Linked DNA regions of Rhinolophus ferrumequinum. The protein of the gene in region 3 binds, or shares a complex with, the protein of the main gene of each other region. Links are inferred from orthologs where the notes say so. Each region holds a gene or a part of one and is shown on either strand. Other genes may lie near its edges. The genes, in order: PLRG1, SART1 and SNRPD1.

Region 1 (7,354 bases), on a different chromosome or scaffold from region 3:
AAGAGCTGGAGAAGAGACAGAGATGCTCTTCTGCTTCTGTCATATTGGGACTCAAAACGACAAGGGATGTAATGAACACCTGTTGGAGTGCTACTCCCTTCTCATAGAATGACCCCTAAAATGCAGGCATAGTCCTGTTAGTCTTGTGATATCCTGACTCTCTAGCCACAGATGACTGAGCTAGGAGTAGAACCCTTACCTAAGTCAGCGCTATCAGCTTCTCTCACCCAATTTAATTTAATTTAATGTTTGCAAAGGACATAAGCAGAGAATCAGGTCAATTAGCCCGGTAGATGGGTCATACCAGCATTCTACAGGGAAAGGCTCCAAACTCCAGCAGCAGAAATAATCAAAACTTCTAAACTTGTTCATTTGATTCCTCTGTCAAGTCTCTGAGACACCTGATGTCCTTAATAGTATCCACCCCCTCCCTATTATCTTTCGGTAAATTAGGCTGAGATGGCCTCTCAGATTTGCTAAACTAATCCAAAGAGAAAATTAAGATCAATAGAAATCAGACTATTTTTTTAAAGCATAAATTGCATCTTCAAAAGAGAAGCTATATTACAATAAATGATGAAAAGTTTGTGTACTGAAGTATATAGTACCAGCAGTAAAACTCTGTAAAATATTACAACTTTTATTTTATTTTGGAGAGTTTTAGTAACATTCATTTAAAAAAATTCACTATTTAGTAACTATTTCTTGAATTAAATTAACAATATTTTCTGTAAAATGTGCCCAGAATTAGATTAATGGGGCATTAGATATATTTATAGTTTTGAGTCTTCCTATCCAAGAATAAGGTATGCATTTTCATTAGTTCAAATCTTTTTTATGTCCTCTAAATTTTTTTTATTTAAGTCTTGCGCTTTTATCATTTATAAGTTACAAATAAAATCATTTTTTCATTATATTTTTAACTGCATATATGAAAGCTATTGATTTTTTAATACTATTTTTGTACTCAGATATTATATTTTAGTGAATTCTCTTATTGTTTCCAATAGTTTCTCCAGTTGATTTCTTTTTTTTTTTCTTTTTGGCATAAAATCATACCATACACAAATAAAGATAGCTTTGTTTCATTATTTCTTATTTCACACCACTTATTTTTTTTCTCTCATCCAATTGCATGACTACTACTTTCAGGACAAAAATGTGTGCATACTAATGGTGATAATAGGAATTCTAGTTTTGTGGCTGGCTAATTAGAATGTTTTTAATGTTAACCTATAAACATGACGCTGACTTTTGGTAGTATTTTAAAAGAAAGCCTAAAAATGTCTAAATTATAATAGTAAAATATTCATACAATCAGTATGCTTTAATCCTCTTAATTATTGATGTCAGGAAGTTTTTCTGCCAAATAAATCCATTTTTGCAAATCATATGTTTTTACAAATAAATTAGTATCATTTAAGTTAGTATCAGAATTAAATTTGAAATACACGAAACAAAATTTGGCACTAACTTACCTAAATATAGTGAAAAATAATTCCTTTTCTTAAAATTTACTATGATTAGAAAGACAGACTGTCCTCCTCATACAAGCAATTCTCTGCCTTACACATAGAAAAGAGTTAAGATTAAATTAATGGTTGTTGAAATAGTAGCATCTTTTCAAGGGTGAGCACATTACACACACACACACACACACACACACACACACACACACACAATATCCTTCCTATAGATTTACTATCTGCAACCCCACATCAAAATTTATGTCTCATTGCCTTCCAACCCCATATCTAAGTGTCTAAAACTTAACATCTTCCTTACTCAATCGTTCAACAAATTTTGAAAGCATATAAGTTGCAAGTCAACTAGACACTGGGTGTGTAATAGTGAATATCACAGCATACTCACTCCATATGTCTGTTGGGAAATACAGATAAACAAATATTACCATCGAACACGGTGGTATATGGACTCAGCTAAGAAAACTGGAAATGTCACATTGCAATTTTTACTTTGTCAGCATAAACACTGACATATTTTTGCAAAAATGGAAACACAAATAAAGATAAATTATGAGTCATGATCATGTTCACTTTTGACTCTTGTTTTTGTGATATGGGATGTGACTTCATAGAGGAAAGTGAAACTGTGACAAAAAACACATTCTTCCCGTCACACACACACACACACACACACACACACACACAGCTTACTAAGATGTATATAATTGACAGTGTAGCTTAATTATGTACCAGGCCTTCCCAGGCATTAAGTGGAAGAATAGCTCCCTCATTGTCTCCTGTAGTCCCAAAAGCTTTCCTCTCAACTGTGTTATCAGAAAGCACCTGAAAACACTACCTCAGCAGTTGGGTCCATTCTTATCATTGTAATAAACAACTAAAGACCAAACTCCTGATAGAAATGTCCAAGTATTCTTTTTCTGTTTCTGATCTCAGGAATTCCAAAAGACATGATAACTTGTATTATCTCCCGTGTCTTAGTGTAACGAAAATCCTCTTATCCTTATGAAGAGCAACAGTGACCCCTACTGCTCAAATAAGGCAGCTCCGGGTGTCAACCGGGACAGGGATTCTTAACCTTTTCTGGGTCGTGGATCATTTTGTGAATCCGAAGAAACCTATAGATCCCTTCACCAGAACAAAATTCAGGTTCTTACATAAATACAAAATTTACATACTATATATAGGTAATTCTTGGATCCCTGAGCTAGTAATACGGTCACGGAGCTCTCTAAAAGTTTCAAGTGGATAATATAATTCTGTAAATTTAAGAGAGCTTTTCAAAAGGAGCATAATCTCGTCCAATCTACCTCAGTCATTACAATGTTTTTATGAGTCTGGGCTTACATTTTTTTTCAGGAATAGTAACTAACAAGCTAATAGACCCAAATAGACAGTTACTATATTGCTATAGACATATTAGAATCTTGCTTACATTTCTATAACTTTATTGCCATTTAAAATCATGTTCTTTTGTATAGTTATTACCGTCTTTATAGTTACAAGATTTAGTGTCACTAGTACAGTATGTATTTTGTAATTATGATATTTCCTTGCAAGCCCTAACATCAGTGACCACTGTTAGAGAAAATCAGTTCTTAGGCAAAACTTACACTCAAATTCGGGGATGACTGCCTTTTCAAGTATGACTTTAATGTGTTTAACTAATTTAAATCAATACATTTCTAAATGGGAAGATCAATCCACATTGCTATACTTTTGATAGATTGCACACCCCCTCCTCCAAGTACATGCAGTATGCTCCGGGGACAAGATCAGTGGAACTGATTATGGTTAAGGAATAAGCAGAGCCAGGGAAATGTTTGTTTATTCAAGTTTGAAAATGTCCAATTCCATCAATTTTTCTTTACACCTAGCAAAACACGTGTTCCCGGAGCGTCCGCTCCGCAGCCCCGAGACTCTGCCCCAGCGGCGGCCCGGAGGGTAAAAAGGGCGGCGCCTCAACCCCGGGAAGCCTGCGGGAGACCAGCGCGCAACGTGCGGGGCTGCGTCACATCCGGCGTCAGGGCGCCAGATTCCGGAAGAGGCTGCAGTTGTGGCGGCGGTTTCTCTGTTGGTGATTAGTATCTTTCCTGCCAGAGCGGGGAAATACACGGCAGCATCATGGTTGAGGTAAAGTGACATTTGGTACTGAGGGGTAGTTTGCTACTGGACTGTTTTCCTTTGGCGACAGGCACGGGGGATCGAGGGGATCCAGGGAGAGTAGAAGCTGCTCAGGGAGGCTGTTTGGCCGAGGCCAGGTTGTCTCTAGGTTTTCAGGGAGAGAGGGAGGCTTTTCAGGGGATGAGAGCACGAATTGGAGGTTCCCTCCGGGCGGGAAGCCTAAGCTAACGCCTCCCCTCCTTATTTAACCCTTGGGCACTGGAGCGGGGCGCTGCCCTCGGAGGTGCGGCTTCTGTCGATGTTCGACCGCCGTGTTCGCCGCCTGCGGGGTGGTGTCAGTGCATCTGTGTTCTAGGCGACTGGCGGTTTGCTCCCGTGGTGACTCTGTCTCTTCTTTTAGCTCTTCCCCAGGAAAATCTGCCGTTCTTGAATTTTTGCATCTTTCCCTAGCTTGAACAACCATTCTATTAGCAAGCCTTGTCTGTCTTTTCTCAGAACTGTTTCTTGACTTTTGTCCATTCCCATTGCCATCACCGTAATTCAGACCAACCTCACCTTTCATCTCGACAGTTGCGTTGGTTCCAAACTGGTCTCCTTCCTTCCATCTCTCTCTCTCTCTCGCTCTCGCTCTCTCGCTCTCTCTCTCTCTCTCACACACACACACACACAAGTTAATCTATTTAAAAATGTAAGTTGGTCCTGCTTTTCTTACTTAAAACCCTTTACTGGCCCTATGCTGCTAGAACAAAAATACAGACTGCTATAATGGTCTAAAAAAAAAAAAAACACAAAAAACCCTAACTAGATCTGGACCATGTCTACCCTCGCAACCTCATCTTGCATCATAACTCACCCTCTCACCAAACACATACAATTGTTCTGCCCCTCCTGGCATTTTTTCTGTTACTGAATTCCTTTGCGCATGGTGTTTTCCTTCTGCCTGGATTGTTCTTAACCTCTTTTCTGTGCAAGGCTAACACCCTTTCTGCTTAAATAGCACCTCAGAGAGATCTTTCATAACTATCCTAAGTTTTTGCTCCACTCTCTCAGTCCCTTGCTTCTTTTCTTCACAGTACTTATCAAAATGTGGAGTTATTTTTGCTTATTTTTATTTAAATGTGTCTTGTTTCATCTTGAGCACAGCGACCATGACCATCTTTTTGTCGTTCTGTTGTTAGCTTTCAGCCCAATACCTACCAGACACAGTACCTACCAGACAAATAGTAGCTCAGTAAACTTTTATTGAATAAATGACTAATCTCAGGCATAATTCAGTTGTTATACTTGGGGTTCTAGCAAAAAAGGGGAGCTTCGTCCTTTGAACTTGACTGCTGTAGCTTGCTACAAGTAGCTCTGGTGAGCGGTGCAAAGTTTTTGACATATTTAAACATGCAACGGAATGACAATTTGACTTTAATTTAGGTTTGATATGTGTAGTCTGTGGCTAGATATGTAATTATACTCTTTCTTTCTAGGAAGTACAGAAACATTCTGTGCATACACTTGTGTTCCGGTCGTTGAAGAGGACCCATGACATGTTTGTAGCTGATAATGGAAAACCTGTGCCTTTGGATGAAGAGAGGTAGGTATAGTTCCTTTTCAATTGCTAGAATATTTAAACTCCTAAAATTGGGGGAAGAGAGCAGGGAGAGGGGTACCTTTAGAGTTTAGTGAATAACACTAACACTCACAGAATATCTATTCAGTAATGAGTGGAGTAACTTAAGCTGATTTAACTTTTTTTTGGCCTTTTACATTAATTAGTTAATTACTTAATTAATTAATTGCATTTTACAAATACCCAGTAATTAGGAGAGTCCCATTTAGGTATTTTATTTTATAATCAATCACTTTGTATGTGCTTTCAGCTTCCCTCCCGCTGCTCTCAGAGCCTTGCTGAGCTGAAATTGTACCTGGCCAGTACTTCTACTCCCATCTTTTCTCGTTAGTATGATGAAGATTTTTGAGTGGTGGCATATTTTTGGTTCTACATCTCCAGCTCCAGTCTAGGATTGCATTATGTGCAGTGTTCCTTCTTTGTTCTTCACCCTTCTTTTAAAGTCTACTTAATTCCTCAAACAAGCATTTATATTTAATTTGTAAAGTAGGCTATTCTTGAAAGCAATATAATAAGTGCATTTCTTTATAAAATATTGAGCTAATTAAGTACTTCGATCATTTCTAACCTTCAAAATATCTAGTAAACGTTATTGTAGAAGCTTTTACTATATTTTTGTATTTAGACATTTGAAGGAGAGTATTGATTCTGAGGTTTTTTAAAAAAAAGATATATTTGTTTCTATATATTTTAAAATCAGTTAGACCCTTGATAACTCATCATGAAAGGTTTTATATTTATCGGTTAACAAGCTAAAATATTTCTTAGACTTAATGGATGCTGTGTGGTGGGTTGTGAATAAAAGTGTGGAAATGTACTTGGAAATTTTGAGCTTTTTAAAATGTTTAAAATCTTCATAGAAACTTTTTCTACATAATTAGGCAAACTTAAGCTATTTAAGTACTTGTTTCCTGTCTATCTGTGACTATATTTATTTTGGTGACTATATTTGAAGTACTTAAAAATACATTCCTTTGTTTATAACTTTTTAAAATAGTCACAAACGAAAAATGGCAATCAAGCTGAGGAATGAGTATGGTCCTGTGTTGCATATGCCTACTTCGAAAGAAAATTTTAAAGAGAAGGGCCCTCAGAATGCATCAGATTCATATGGTCATAAACAGTATCCTGCCAACCAAGGTGAGTGTGGCATTGTCAGAAATGCCAGGACTTACGTGTGAATTTTTAAAAATAAATGAAATATTTTATTAGTGCCCCTCTTGGTGGAAGACTAATTAGAGCCATACCGTATTTTAACACCACTAGTATTATGATGGAAGTCTAGATTTCCTCATTGGAATAGTGAGTGAGATATGTATTGGTTGGTGGGTTTTAGTTCTACAGGAAATAAAAATAAAAGTGGTAGTATAATGGTGGCAGAAACCATTAGGATATGGAGTTGGTTATAGTGGAAAAATTCCTAATTTGTGGGGAGACCATCTATCTCTTTAGGCTATAATTCAGAAAGATGATATTAAATACTGAAATTGTAGTGAATAAAGATAATTCAATATTCCACAGGGAAACCATTTGCTTAAAAGAAAAATCAGAGTGGATTATTACTTTATAGGGTGACCTCTACACACGATTGTTATATAGCAAATGCACAAGTTCTTGACATCATGTCAGCAAATGGTCAAGGAAATCACTATGTACATGGTCTTCAGAAGTCAAAACAAAAATGATCAGCTTTATTTTTGAAGCTTGGGTTTAGTTATGAAAATTTTAGAAATCCAGTTGATAATTTAAAATTACTTAGTTCATTAAAAGAAATGATACTAGTATGGTACATAAGATAAATTTTGTCATTGATGAATTTCTCTTGTATTTTTTTAAGGACAAGATGTTGAATATTTGGTGACGGGTACACATCCCTATCCACCTGGACCTGGTAAGTGAGCTGTTACACATTGAAAATGTCTTATTGTCACATATATTTCCATGAATAAACTAATAATATGATTCCCATTGCCTGTAAAATACAAGATAAGCTTAATAGCCCGGCATCCAGCTTTTTAGATGATAATTAGCGAATACTTAGTGTCACATGCATTCATTGGGCAAACATTCATGAGCACCTGTATTTTTTCAGGCACCGTGCTAGGAATTTATAGTCAATAAGACTGCC
Region 2 (7,354 bases), on a different chromosome or scaffold from region 3:
GCTGGGGGATATTCATTCCTGCAAACCCCTCGAGTTTTTGGAGTTTTCGGCAGATATCAGGAGCTGCCTGAGCGACAAAGGCTGTGTTTATCATTCTCTGATTCTTGGGGGCTTCCGGATCAAATGGAGTGTAGACCCGGAACGCCTCACAGAGACGTTCACAGAAGTTGCCAGGAGTTTCTTCCCCGTTTTGGGTTACATCGGCTGTTTTGGACATGTTGGTTGGTTTTCGGGCTCCTGCCCGCAACCCTCGTAGGAGAGCATCTTGGTATCGGCGGATTGCGCCTCTCCCTGCTTCAGTGTTAAAGTCCCAATTAGGCCGTGCGTCTGGAGCAGCCTCGGTCACCCAGGTGGCAGCATCCAGGACTCCTCCAGAGGCCACTTCTTCTAGCCACTGCGTTGCTCCCTATATGATCCGCTGGCGTTCTTCGGTGTTGAAGAGTGTTCAGAGGAGCTGTTGACAGAACTCCCAGGTGGGGCGATGAGTGTGGAAGATAGATTCCATAAGATCTATCATGGCTTGCGATTTCTCCGAGTAAGCTGGGGTATGATGTTTCCAATTCAACAGGTCAGTGGTGGAGAAAGGCTGGTAGTAGATGACGGGGTGTCCTCGCTGGAGGGTCCCGTCATCTCCAACTTGGTCTGGGCTTCTGGTCTCCTGGAGGGTCAGCTGAAGCAGAGGCGGGTCTTTGGACCGAAGTCAACTAGCAGGCCCCAGTGAGGGTTGGTGTGTAGGATCAGGGGCTCCCTGGGGAGGGCTTGGGAAGTTGGGTGTCGGCCTGGGGGGCTCAGATGGAGGCGGAGTGTCTGGAAGTGGTGGGGCCGCACCAGCCGTTGGCCGTGATGCGTAGGGAGGTGGTGGTGGCTCTTCGTGGGGGTCTCCCTGGTAAATGGTCTTAGTCATGTCTTTCTGGGCACGGCCTTGTGGGTTCCGTGCAATGAGGATCCTGGACTGTCCCTTACTATTGGAGTAGAACCGTACCTAAGGAGGAAGGGTTCGGCCTATTTCCAACCACGAGTCAATGTAAGGGAACTGGTATGGATATCCTGGGGTCCCGGTGACAACTATGTAGACCCGGCAAATCGTGGGGAGGTCAAGAGTGCCTTCTGGGGGCCATTCCACGTCAAAACTTGGCCACTCCAGTTCATATAAAGTGCGGAGATGTCCTGGGGTCATTTTGACCCCCTAGTCGCCTCTGAAACCTTTTCTGAAATTCTTTAACATGCAGTCTAGAACCCTGGGCTTCCCGTGACTCCCTCCCAGGATGTTCGGTGTAGTGTAGACAAGGGAATGGTCTCAATCAGGCGCCCGCCTGGCCGTGTTCCTCGCGGGAACTTTGGGTACGTCTTGGCTAAGGTGTGCCCGTATAAGCCCGGGGTTCGGTCGCACTCCGAGAGTGCGAATCACCATATGCCGTAGGATGCTACCATGGAACGCAGGTTGGGGCTCACCCCAGCTCCGTAGCCGACAGGCAGTGGATCCATACAGAATCCTGTTTGGGACCAAGCACACACACATTCATTCCGGGAGGAAAGACGCCCTCCCCCGGAATGGCCCTAACTAGAGTCCAAAGTGGGACTCAGCAGGAGGTGATCAGGCTCCCCTTCTGCCCTTAGGCAGGCCTAACTGGGTCCCGGGCCCCGGGTCTTACCGTGTCCGATGTCCTGGTTGATTGTCCGTCCTTTCTCTCTACTGGGGTCCAGCAGGGAGTCACGGGCCGGAGCTGGTGGGAGGTCGCTGGTCCCGGGCCGGCGGAAATGAGCAGGGCGCGCCTAGCCCTGCCCCGGCTCTCCCGCCACCCTACGGTCTGCTCTGGCCCAAACCGGTGGCTCAAGGGGCCAGCGCGGTTGGGTTTCCAGGTCAGGGAACCAAGAATGTTACGGATACCAAGACCGGAAGAACCTAAGCGGCACTCAGAGAGTTAGGAAGGTCAGCTTTATTATGCCGGCGGGCTCAGCGGGATCCTTCCCAAAGACTGAGCCCCTAGCAAGGTTTTGAGCAGGTTTTTGAGTTAGGAACTTCCTTCAGTCGGGGAAGGGGTAGGTGTGGTCCGGTGATTGGCTCCGGGTGTGGCTTGGAGGGGGTTATGAGGAAGTGGGCTGGGGCTTAGGCTGGGGACGTCTCTCTCCGCTCCGGCCACCATTTTAGCTCACTTTCCCCATCACTGGGACGCCGCCTTCCCCATGCACAATCGGACCACCACCCTGCCCGAGGTGGCCGAGCTTGTGCACGCGGACGTCGACCCCAGCCTTCCCATAAGCCTTTGGGGGCCGGCTCTGAAGCGAAGGACGGAAGCAGCCGCTCTTGGTTTCCGGCTACACGACAGCGGGCGACCCGGAAGTGTTCCCATTTTGCGCAGTCTGGGCTCGGCGGCGGCCGGGCACGGGGCGGCCGGACCACTATGGGATCGTCAAAGAAGCACCGCGGGGAGAAGGAGGCAGCCACGACGGCGGCGGCGGCCGGCACCGGGGGCGCCACCGAGCAACCGCCGCGGCACCGGGAACACAAAAAACATAAGCATCGGAGCGGCGGCGGCGGCGGCAGCGGCGGCGAACGACGGAAGCGGAGCCGGGAGCGGGCAACCGAGCGCGGGGGCGGGCGGCGCGGGGCTGAGGCCGAGACCCGGAGCGGCGCGCACGGGCGGGAGCGTAGCCAGACCGAGCCCTCCGAGCGGCGCGTGAAGCGGGAGAAGCGCGATGACGGCTTCGAGACCGGTGAGGGGCGAGGCGTGCGCGGGGGGATCCCGGGGCTGGCAGGCCCTGGGCGTGGAGGCAATGCCGGACGCCGGCCCTGCACTCCAGGCCGTGGCACCCGCGGGCTCTCTTAGTCAGCACTTCTTAAAGGGTCCTCTTACCATTGTTTGGGATTAATGGTGGTTTCTCTCTCCTAAGATCTGTGAGAACAGATTTTTCTGTGTTTTCTTCAACTGGCATATCACAGGTCCTCGGTAAATGGGTTGAGTGAGTGAGTAAATGAGTGAATGAATGAATGATTGAATGAAGTGGTACCAGGGTGTGCAGAGGCAAGAGAAAATCAGGTATTGGGCAAATCGTGTAGGGCTCATAGTAGAGACATGAAGCAGTAAGATCCGCAGGGGTCCAAACACGAGGTGCCCTGTTATGAAATTTGAACTTTGTCTTGAGGGTCGTAGGGAGCCGTGCAGTTGAGCTGGGGAGTGAGTTGATCCTATTTTGCACAGATCACTGACTGCATCCAAAACTAAGTCAAAGGTAGTCAAAACGAGACCAGGTGAGGACTGATGCTGGCCTGCACCAAGGCAGCAGCAGGGGGATGGAGAGATGTGGAAAGACTGAAGAAGTGTTTTGGAGGAGGAATGGGGGTGGGATGAGGGTGGGAAGGAGAAGAAGGGATTGAGGATTCAAATTTTGGTGTCAGCAATTAGGTGGGTGGTGGCGTCATCTACTGAGCTTGAGTTTGGAAGAGGCATTTAGGGGAAGAGAATGAATTCAGTTTTGCAGAGTGTTGTGTTTGATGTGCTTGGGAGAAACCTGGGAGGACCAGGTTTGGGTGGGATACAGCAATTTGGGAGTCAGGAGTAGTTAGGTGGCATGCGAAGTCTCCTGAAGAGAGTGGGGAGTGAGAAGTCAGGCTCAGGACTAGAGCCTGAGAAATGCCAGTATTTTAGTAGTAAGCGGAGCCTGATGCTACCGGAAAGGAAGTAGAATAGCCAAAAAGACAGGAAAACCATAGAATCTTCTGTCATGAGATTTGTGGAAAGAGGATTGTTAGAAGACGGGTCACACACTACAGGAGATCAAGCAAAACCAGAGCTGAAAAGAATGCATTGGTTTTAGAAATAAGGAAGCTGGTGACTTTGAAGAGTGCCTGGAAGGGTTGGGATCCAGGGTCCAGGTGGAATAAAAGGGGAGGAGTTAGGCTGGGGGCGAGTTGCAGCAAGGATGAGCTTGTGGTGGCAGCTGGTTGGGGGAGCTCCACCTGACGGTTTTTAGCTTCTGGCTGTGGTGTTCAGCAAAGGTATTTGCTGTTTGTGAGGTGGGTGGAGGAAGTTTGAAATGCTTTTTTATTGCTGTATCCCCAACATCCAGCAGGGGACAAGCACCAGTAACGTGTTTATTGACATGGTCATGCTACCAACATGGTCTCTGCCCTGTGGAGAGCCACAGACCCAGACATGACTGACCGTGCTGTGGGGTTTGGGGAGGGCAGTTCATTCTGGTCAATAATTGAAGCACTTCACGGAAGAGCTGGCGATTGATCTTGGCGTTTGGATAGGACTTGTCAGTCAGTGAGGCCAGAGAGGGCAGTGCAGGTTGAAAACACAGAATATACAACAGTGGAGAGGTGGCAAAGGGTGGGATGCAGAAAGTTGGACCTTTGGGGTGAGGAAAGGAAGGGATCTAGAAGAGGCGGGGTTCTCAGACTGGGACTCAGGGAGAAGGACTTGCTGGGGTGGGAAGAGGCTGCCGTGTTCTGGTGTCTCAGCAAGCCCCGGGTGCTGGTGAGGGGCCCTTATCGTTGGCCGTGCAGCGGAGCGAAGGCTGTGGCTTTTTGGCCCTGCGTTCGCCTCCTGAGTCGTGCTTCTTGTTCCAGCTACCGGCTCCAAAAGCAGCTCAGGAGATGCCTCGTCACTCAGCATCGAGGAGACCAAGTGAGTACTGTGTCCTGTATGTTTGCAGTCTTTTCTTCTGAGCAGTCGCTTGGGGAGGCTTCCGCACACTAAAGTGTGCTGGTTGGCATTGGAAGTGCCATATAAATCACGTCAGCCCACCGTTTGTGTTACAGAAGAGGACACTAAGGCCTTAGAGGAAGGACGGCATTCCACTGGTTAGGGCCAGCCAGGCGGAGCACTTGTGTTCCCTGATTGGGAGACCTGTGTCCTTCCCAGTGCCCTGGGCTTCCAGGGTCAGGCCCTGTGTTGGGGACCCTTAGGACCACTCTGCCCCGTCCTGTTTTCATCCCCCATCTATCCGGAAATGCATTTGGTGCCCCATCTCTTTGACAGCTCTTAACCTTTGTATCTCTTACCCTCAGTAAACTCCGGGCAAAGTTGGGGCTGAAACCCTTGGAGGTCAATGCCGTCAAGAAGGGTAAGTATGGGGCTGAGGGCATCGGAGGGGTCTTTGAAGACAGTGGGGTTGGAGCATGTGTGTGTGTGCTTGCCAGTAGGCATGGGCCTTCCTTCTTGCTGTCACATGGGGATCTGACGCTCAGCTTATTCTTGAAGTTTGCACAGTTGGCATGGCTCCTCACTCTGGCTGTGTGGTAGCGGTAGATGGGCTGAGAAATGTGCACAGTTGCTCCAAACTGATCGGGGCTGTGCAGGTGTTGGTTATCTCTTAAGCATGATTTGAGTGGCTTTGGAAGGCCTGGTAGGGGGTTCCCATCATGCTGTGTGGGGTGACATGGGAGTGTCGGAATAAAGTGGGTGTAGGGAGGTAAAGGATCCTTCCCCCCCTTTCCTGGCCCCTTCTGGTCACCTGAGCTGGAAGGGGGCAGGGTGAGTGGCTCCCTCCTCTCCCCACCAGCCATGGGCAGGCATAGCCTCACGTCTGGGCCCTCCTTCCAGAGGCGGGCACCAAGGAGGAGCCCGTGGCAGCCGATGTCATCAATCCTATGGCCTTGCGACAGCGAGAGGAGCTACGAGAGAAGCTGGCAGCTGCCAAAGAAAAGCGCCTCCTGAACCAAAAGCTAGGGTAAGGGGGTCCCAGCCAGGGAGGACAAGGGAAGGGTCTGAGGAGGCTGCCATGGAGCTCTGGAGTCGGGGTGGGGGGAGCAGGAGCGGGGCTCCCCAGAGAGTCACTTTCTTCCCACTTCAGGAAGATCAAGGCACTGGGGGAGGACGACCCCTGGCTGGATGACACTACCGCCTGGATCGAGAGGAGTCGGCAGCTGCAGAAGGAGAAGGACTTGGCGGAGAAGAGGGTGAGGGCCTAGGCAGCGGGGTTGGTTGCTCAGGGCCGCTGGTGGCTTCACAGGCTGGTGAGGCAGGAATCCCACCCCTGGGGCGTGAGGCCGGGCTCAGAGAGGTAGGAGGTCCATGGAGTGGCGTCCGCTTTGGGTTCTCAGCGGCTTGCCTGCAAGGCCTGCCATTTGTGTGCTCCCACTTGACAAGGCCATGCGTGTCTTCTGGTCCTGAATGGCCTGAGCTCCTGGGTCACTCCCCCTCCTGTCCCATAGGCCAAGCTGCTGGAGGAGATGGACCAAGAGTTTGGTGTCAGCACTCTGGTGGAGGAGGAGTTCGGCCAGAGGCGGCAGGTGAGGCTGCTGTGGCAGCCGTGGGGAGTTGTAGGGTGGTGGTGGGAGGCACTGCTGTCCATGGTGCTGGGATCCCAGGGCTGGGGGGTTTGGGCGCCTGACTCGGCGGGACCTCCCCCCTCCCTTCTAGGACCTGTACAGTGCCCGGGACCTGCAGGGCCTCACCGTGGAGCACGCCATTGAGTCCTTCCAAGAAGGGGAAACTGTGGTCCTCACCCTCAAGGACAAGGGTAGGTTGGGGGGCTGGGGTCATCCGGTTGGGGGCAAGGTGCTACTGAGTCGAGGGCGTGTGTGAATGGCCTCTGCCCTGCCCCCAGGCGTGCTGCAGGAGGAGGAGGACGTGCTGGTGAATGTGAACCTCGTGGATAAGGAGCGGGCTGAGAAGAACGTGGAGCTGCGGAAGAAGAAGCCCGACTACCTGCCCTATGCAGAGGACGAGAGCGTGGACGACTTGGCCCAGGCAGGCGGGCGGCGTAGGGGCCGGGAGGAGTGGGTGGCTCTGTGGCTTCTGGGGAGCCAGGCTGGGTCCCAACCTGTACCTCTTGCCTTTGCAGCAGAAACCCCGCTCTATCCTGTCCAAGTACGATGAGGAGCTCGAGGGCGAGCGCCTGCACTCCTTCCGCTTAGACCAGGGCGGCATGGCCGATGGCATTCGGGAGCGCGAGCTGGAAGAGGTCCGGGCCAAGCTGCGGCTGCAGGCTCAGTCCCTGAGCACGGTGGGGCCCCGGCTCGCTTCCGAGTACCTCACACCCGAGGAGATGGTGAGCTCTGCGGCCGCTGCTCACACCGCGAGGGAGGCAGTGGTGCCTCCTTCCGCTCGGGGCTAAGGAGGGAGACCCAGTGTTCATTTGGTCCTGGGTCCTTGGTCCTTGTTGGGGAGCCGAGATTGGCAGCCCCGGGGCGGTGCTGCCGGGAGGCAGTGGGTGTAGACAGAGCAGCGACTGAGCCAGGTGAGCCTGAGATGCCCCATCTGAGATGGGGATGGTGGGAGCTAGCTACCTCTTGGGGGGCCATTGCGAGGATGAGTGACAGTTTGGGAAGTGGTAATTTGATAGCTGTGTGTGGGTTTTGTATTGGGGGTGACTGAATGAACACAGACAGCTGGCTAAGTGGTTA
Region 3 (7,354 bases):
TCTTTTGTGAATTACCTATTTACGTTATTCACACATTTTCAATTAGGTTGAATTTTTCTTTTATTTTCTACTAGTTTGCCATAGCCATTCAAGTTTGTGGTGTTCTTTAGTCATACAATTTTTTTTCATTTTTATACTGTTAAAATTGTGAATCCTTCTTGGGTATGTAATTTGTTTAAGAAGTTATTACCCATCCTGAGATTGTAAAAAGTCTCTTATTTTCTCCTAGTTTTATATTTAGTTTTAATCCACCTGGAATTCATCTCTTTTCTATGCAGTGTGAAGTAGGAATCTGCCTTTATCATTTTCCCCAATTGGATAGCCACGTGCCTCAATGTTTTCTGACTAATCCATTCATTCCCCACTTCATCTAGTCTTTTTATTCCCTCCCTAACTTTTTATTATGAAATAATGCAGAAGAAGGAAAGTTGAATGATTCACAAATTATTGAAGTGTTGCCATTTGTCTGTGTGTCCCACCTCTACATACACAATTTAACACTTTCACCATATTATCTAAAAATAAAATTTGCAGGCACTTCAGCATGCATTTTCTAATGAAGACATTCTCCCAAGCAACCATAATACCACACCTAGAAAATGAACAATAATCCCACAATATGATCTAATATGCAGTTCACATTCACAATTTCTAGTCTGTAATAGGTACTTTGTACAGCCCATCATAGCATCTATCACACTAAATGGTACATGCTGGATTATCTATTTCCCTCCCTACTACACTGTTGTTGAGGGTAAGGTTTATGACCTTTAATCATGAATTATAACAGGCACTGAGTAATAGTTGGCTGAAATGTTTCAATAATTAAAGGGAATCCAGCTATAAAACACTACATTTTTCGTGGTATAGGCAGCCATCAAAAAAGGGGAAATTACTTGATCTAGGATAAAACAAGTCCCAAACTTCAAACAGCTCATCTGTCCTCATAAAGACTAATGGGTTGAATCTTTTTCTATTTGCTGTCAAGATAAGTCTCTCTCAATGAATTGCTTTATTTCACCAGACAAAAGTTCTTTAACTTAGCTCAAAATTTATTAATCACTTTTAACTACATTAACCTAGATTGTTCTCCTGCACTTGGGTTTACAAAAATCTTTTACTTTAATTGACCCACTCATTAATATCTTTTCCTTTTATAAAAGTTCTTTCAAATAATTTTTGGAAGCAGGCAGAATTAAAGTAAACACAAAATACCTTCTAAATCAAGCAATCTACCATATGGAAATAAAAAGAAAACCAGAAAGCAAAAAAAGACATCTGAAACTTCAAAACACATTTCAGAAAGCCCAAAAATATTTCTTTGATAAATAATATTTATCATTACGTAGTAGTCCCATAATGCTGGATAATGAGAATTAAAAATTAGTAAGACCATGCCTCAAGGAACTCAAACTCACTAGTAGAAAGGACACATAAAAGATATTTTTAAACTAAATTGTAAAGCCCAATAGAGATGCGCACAGGTTTTTACCAGGTCCATGAGGTAGCATGAGGAATCAAGTTTCAGTGGATTTCTAGTAGGAAGCCTGAAAAGTTGGAAATATGCAGCAAAGAGTGAAGAGCAAAGATACGGTAGTTAAGAAACAGCACAATGTACAGAAAAATTATAGGTACAACCGATGGAATATTAAGTCTAAGAAAATGAAGAGTTAGGCAGATTCCTTTCATGGAAAGCCTAAGCTCTGTTAAAAATTTCCTCTAGGAGAGTTACTGAAGGGTTTTCAGCAATAAAGATTGCCAGGATCACATTTACATTGGAAGACAAATCAGATGGCTACAGCACTATAGAGGTTAAAGTTACAGTAATCAAGACATAGGAACAACAAACGGATCAATGAAACCGAATAGAACCTAGAAATAGAAATAGACTCACATTTATACAGTCAATTTTCTACAAAGGTGCTCATGGGACTGCCAAAGCAGTCTGATGGGGCAAAGGAAAGCCTTTCCAACAAATGAAATCCATAATAGGGATTTATGTTCCACGATAATACGGAATGACTGGAAATCCATCTAGAAAAAAATGAACCTGGACCCCCTAACTCACACCACTTACCAAAATTAATTGAAGACAGATCATAAATCTAAAAATCAAAGTAAAATTATAAAGCTTTTAGAGGAAAACATTGGAGAATAACTTCATCGTTTGAGGGTAGGCACAAGTTTCTTTGACAGTGCACAGAGAGCAATAACTATAAAAGAAAAAGCTGGTAAATTAAGACTTCTTCAAAATAAACGTATGCTCACCAAAGACATTAAGGAAATGAAAAAGCACACCACAAACGAGGAGAAATTCTATCTGACAAAAGACTAGTATGCATAATACATAAAGAATTCCTACAACTAAAATAAAAAGAAAAATACAACCATAATTAAACTCTTCACAAAGATATACAAATGGCCAATAAGCAGGTGAAAAGGTATTCAACATCACTAGTCATTAGGAGAATGCAAATTAAAGTCAAAAGAAGACTACTATACAAGCACTGCAATGGCTAAACTTAAACTGACAACAAATGCTGATGAGGGTGTGGAGCAAGTGTAACTCTAATATATCTAATATACCATTCATTTGAGGGAGTGTAAAATGCTACAACCACTTTGGAAAATGATTTGGCAGTTTCTTATGAAACTAAATGTATACCTGTGCTATGATCCAGCAACTCCACTCCTAAATAATTACCCAAAAGAAAATGGGGGGGGGGGGTGGGGGAAGGTAATGTTCCATATCTTGATAGGGTTTGGATCACACAGGTATATAAATTTTTCAAAATTGGGAACTGTACACTAAATATCATTGTAAGAGATATTTAACTCAAGAGGTTAATAAAAAACATGGGTGAAAAAAGGGAGCTTAAACAGCTCAGTGGTGGCAACTGGAATGGCAGGGAGGGTATCATGAGCAGGAGAAACAGACACAATAATGTGAGCCTAGAAACCAAGTAGATTGGAATCATTTTCTGATGAATCCTGCACTATCTGAATTCTTTTTACTTACTGAAACTTAGATATTCAGATATTATTCAAATATTCAAACATGGTATCATTCAGCATCCAAATTCACACTATTTAAATTTAAAAATCAAAGAGAATTGGATAGTGAGAGATACTTCCATTAAGTAGATAAAAATGTTCAAACCTGGCAATTTATCAGACATCAGGATTATCAAGAGAGGAAGAAGTCAAGACAACTCCCAGGTTTTTGATTAGGATGACAGTTCCACCAACTTAGGTACAGAAATAAAAAAGTCAACTGAAAATGCCATCCGGTTAGACAAACAGCCATTTTCTTGGTTCAAAATGCCTTCTCCAGTAAGAAGAAATTTTGTTTATTCTAAGACACAGAAAAGGATTCAATACAGCCATTGAAATTAACAGGAAAATTGTCACAGCACAGAATATCTTTAAATGAGAGAAACTGATCCCAAAGAGTAGCACACTAACTAAATTCAGACTGCCAGATATTGAGAAATTGTGAAAATATACTTTAAATTTTGAGACGTTATTATCCAGTTACAGTTCAAATTAAAACGAACAAAAAGTTCACTTTAAATGCTTTCTCTACAAACTCCACCCTGAAGGATTTATGTTATTTCAAACATACTAGAAATTAAATGCAGAAAGATATAAAACGGAAGACATATCGATCATCCGTGCAATCAGCTACAAATACAGAAAGTGATTCTGCCCCAAGTTGGGAGATTTCCCCCCCCCCCCAAATGCAAGGCCTACTTTAAAGGGAAATGTAGGTCGAATAATCCTAAATTTAGAGAACATCCAAAAATACTCTAAAAAAGTAACATTAAGTCAGAAGTCCATCCCTGATTTAAAACACTTCGGAAATGGGTTTATTTTCCAGATAAACCTTTGCAGCTTCTAAGTACTCTTTTTAAAAGCGCATTAAACTACTTACACAGGGAAATAAATTTTCTTTATGTCTCCCACGTTCTCAGGGACCGTGGACCTAGTTACATTTGCCGGTTCCTGAGAACTGAAGATGGGACCGAAAAGTAACCTAAACTAGAGCACGAGTTCTACTGGAAATGAAAATCGGTTGGTAACCGAAAGCAAGACCTTGTACGCCTGCCCCTGCATCTTTAAGGCACTTGAGACATTGGATGGGAAGAAACGGCTCGGCCTTTACATCCACCTCTTGGAAGACACACAGGTTCCCGGAACGACCCTTTCTGAAGAGCAGGCCCGCGCGCCGGCGCCGCCAACCTAGGGCGGGAGCGGCGAGCGCCGGAGGCCGTTAGCAGGCCGCGCGCGCACGTGGCTTTCGCGCTTCCTGCAACTGGGGCAGCCGTCTCCTGCTCCCGGCCCAAACCGTCCCGTCAGAGCCCTCATTCCACTTGGTCACCGCCTCACCTCACGAGCTTCATCCTAGCGGCGCCGTCACGCTCTCGGTCCGAAGAGTGCACAAACCCCAACAACCAAGGCCCCACGGACTGGAGTATGAATGGCCGGAAACGCCTACTCCTGGATCTCCGACGTAAAGGGCGCGCAGAGCTCTGCGAACGCGCGGCGGAAACGCTGAGGCCGCGCAGGGTCGCACTCCCTTCCGCCCGCGAGGAGCGCCATTGCGGCCCCTAGCGGCTGGAGGTGTGCCTTGCGACTGCTGAGGGCGTTTAGGTCTGGTTTAGGAGGAAATTTCCTATTAGAGGGAGATTTGAGGATATTAAATTCAATTAGTGGACACTTTGGCACGGCATCTAGTGTTATGCAGCACCAAATATACCCGTGTGCGAAGGAAAGGTCTGAGAGAAGCCCAAAAGATTATGCTAATTCTGCTCCAAAACCAAGAACCTCAGCACTACTTAATGTACATGGAGAAAATCACACAATTTAGCTAATTATTTTCACTTTAAATTCTGGTAGCAAACCTCAAAAGGGTACCCTATATTGCCCAGAGATAGTGTTCTGCTTCTCATAAGCTCACAAATTATTTCATACTTTCTTTATTCCTCTCAAAACTTTTATAGTCCCTCTGCCAAATCACTCTCTGCTAATGTTTCCTACTTCTTGGAGAAACAGAAGCCATTCTTCTGCTTTATTCCTGTCGCAAAAGTAGAAGTATTGCTTCTTTCAAAGGCAAATTCCTTTTCACTGTAGTATGGATCCCCTCGCTCATTTTTTTAAAAATTTCATACCTTCAGTTATTCCCTTCTAACTTGAATCATCAGTTTCTCCGTCTCTACTGGACTTTTTTTTTCATCAGCATACAAATTTACTTTAAAAACAAAACTCTCTGGGGCGGCCGTTTTTCCCAATGGTTAGAGTGCAGTGCTCATAACACCAAGGTCGCCCATTCAGTTCCCTCATGAGCCAGTGAGCTGTGCCCTCCACAACTAGATTGAAAACAATGATTTGACTTGGAGCTGAGCTGCGCCCCCCACAACTAGATCGAAAACGACTTGACATGGAGCTAATGGGTCCTGGAAAAACACACTGTTCCCCAATATTCCCCACCACAAAAAAATTTGAAAAACAAAACAAAGCAAAAGGTCACCTCTGATGCAGCTCCAGCTACTGCCAGATTTCTTTTACAGAAAAACTTGAATGAGCTGTCTATGCTTGTTTTTATGACCTCCAATTCACTCTTCAAACTACACTGAAATTGCTATTCTAACAGTCATCAGAAACCTCCAAGATAAACTTCTATCCTCATCTTAAACATCTCAGCAGCACTCAACGCAAACATTCCCCTTTTGAAACACTCTCTTTCCTCTCTTGCTTCCAGGATGGCAAATACATCTGGTTTTATTCCTATCCTACTAGCTACTCCTCTTTCTAGCTGTCTCATCCTCTACTGAGCCATTACATACTATGGTACTCAGGGGCTTTCTCCTTTTGGATACTTTCTTCTTTAGCTTAGATGATCTCCAAAACCATGGCTTTAATTTGTATCATCAGTCTGGACTTCATCCCTGATCATCGGAAATCTTGGACTTCATTAAGGCAATGCTCATCAAACTTTAATGTGCATAGGACTCACCTGGAGCAAACTTCAGAATGAAAATTCTGATTTAGTTGGTGTGGGCTCTGAACTCCTGCATTTCTAATGTTAAAGAAAAAAAAGCCACACGCCCAAAAAGGCGTCACTCGTGCTAATAGCCTCTGATACCAAACCTAGATTTCGTACCTGAAATTGCAGTTTCCATCTCTCCCAGAACCAAAATCTTAATTAACCAGTTTGGAATTTTCTGATCAAGCACCAGGAAGGGCATCTGACACCTAGGCCCTCTCTATGCACCAGTTGGAAAGAAGAGGAGATCTACATGATGGAAACCCTTCCCCTTCTCTTTCTTGAAAAGATGTCCTGGCTTCTTTCCTTTCAGTAATAGCCCTCTTGCCCTTTTCTGCTTCCTACTAAAAGCTTCCAATTTGTACAACCCCTCAGAATACCCTTCTAGTTGCTAGATGGTATGCTGCTCAATTCATAAATCACTTAATAAAGCCAATTAAATCTTCAGATTTACTCTGTCGAATTTTGTTAACACTAACAAGCCTTCAGTTGGTGAAGATGCCCTGAGTCCATGAACCACAATTTGAGTAGCAAGACTGTAATGAATATGTGCTGCCTTTTCAACATCTATCCCCTTCTTTTTCCAACAGTTTCTAGTAATCTGGTGATTTGTATGTTCCTAAGGAAGCTGACTCTACCTTTAGATCAATAATCACATTCCATTACTTGTCCACAGTGGACTTGGGATGTAAGCTGATCTAATCAGGACTTCGTGGTATTATGCTCCTTTTGGACATGAATGGAGAGGTAGTTATTGGAAACTTCCTTAGAAACAAGAGAAGAACCAGCAGTTCTAAGAGAGAGTTTTAAAAAAACAAAACTCATCATAATATTAATGAGCCCCTGGATTAAAAACAATTATTAAGTGAGGCTGTTTAAATTAAAATTAAGCAAAATTAAAAATTCATTTCCTCAATGATAATAACCACATTTCAAGTGCTCAATACTCATATGTGGCTATAGCTACCTTTTTGGACACTGCAGATATAGAACAATTCCATAACCAAAGGAAGCTCGATTAGACAGTGCTGCTCTATTTATTACCACATTGATTTCCTTATTTGTATTTAATTGTTATTTGTTTACTTATTTATTGACTGACATGAGAATGGAAACTCTCTGAAGGCAGGGATTTGCATCTGTTCTGTTCACTTTCTGCATACCCAGCATCTAGAATAGTGTCTTGCACACAATGTGCCCTCAAGAAATATTTGTAAAATAAGTGAATGTCTCCCCCATCAGAATGCATGTTGTGTGAAGAAGGGGACCTTGTGTATTGTTCACTGCAGTATCCCTAGTATTGAGCAC

The links.
Region 1: SNRPD1 (region 3) and PLRG1 share a complex: the UniProt entries of both Homo sapiens proteins name them as parts of the minor spliceosome. The link is inferred for Rhinolophus ferrumequinum from reciprocal best matches to the Homo sapiens genes SNRPD1 and PLRG1.
Region 2: SNRPD1 (region 3) and SART1 share a complex: the UniProt entries of both Homo sapiens proteins name them as parts of the U4/U6-U5 tri-snRNP complex. The link is inferred for Rhinolophus ferrumequinum from reciprocal best matches to the Homo sapiens genes SNRPD1 and SART1.

The regions. Positions count from the first base shown.
Region 1 is NC_046301.1:25,386,424-25,393,777, reverse strand, and holds the start of PLRG1 (pleiotropic regulator 1), read left to right. Parts: upstream 1-3,487; 5' UTR 3,488-3,608; coding exon 3,609-3,617; intron 3,618-5,083; coding exon 5,084-5,190; intron 5,191-5,476; exon of another isoform or gene 5,477-5,552; intron 5,553-6,223; coding exon 6,224-6,366; intron 6,367-7,063; coding exon 7,064-7,117; intron 7,118-7,354. UniProt on the Homo sapiens protein: Involved in pre-mRNA splicing as component of the spliceosome. Component of the PRP19-CDC5L complex that forms an integral part of the spliceosome and is required for activating pre-mRNA splicing.
Region 2 is NC_046294.1:5,875,227-5,882,580, reverse strand, and holds the start of SART1 (U4/U6.U5 tri-snRNP-associated protein 1), read left to right. Parts: upstream 1-2,321; 5' UTR 2,322-2,402; coding exon 2,403-2,715; intron 2,716-4,573; coding exon 4,574-4,631; intron 4,632-5,014; coding exon 5,015-5,070; intron 5,071-5,549; coding exon 5,550-5,676; intron 5,677-5,799; coding exon 5,800-5,905; intron 5,906-6,160; coding exon 6,161-6,238; intron 6,239-6,368; coding exon 6,369-6,468; intron 6,469-6,555; coding exon 6,556-6,698; intron 6,699-6,792; coding exon 6,793-6,999; intron 7,000-7,354. UniProt on the Homo sapiens protein: Plays a role in mRNA splicing as a component of the U4/U6-U5 tri-snRNP, one of the building blocks of the spliceosome. May also bind to DNA.
Region 3 is NC_046302.1:17,463,725-17,471,078, reverse strand, and holds the start of SNRPD1 (small nuclear ribonucleoprotein Sm D1), read right to left. Parts: upstream 4,548-7,354; 5' UTR 4,404-4,547; coding exon 4,390-4,403; intron 1-4,389. UniProt on the Homo sapiens protein: Plays a role in pre-mRNA splicing as a core component of the spliceosomal U1, U2, U4 and U5 small nuclear ribonucleoproteins (snRNPs), the building blocks of the spliceosome.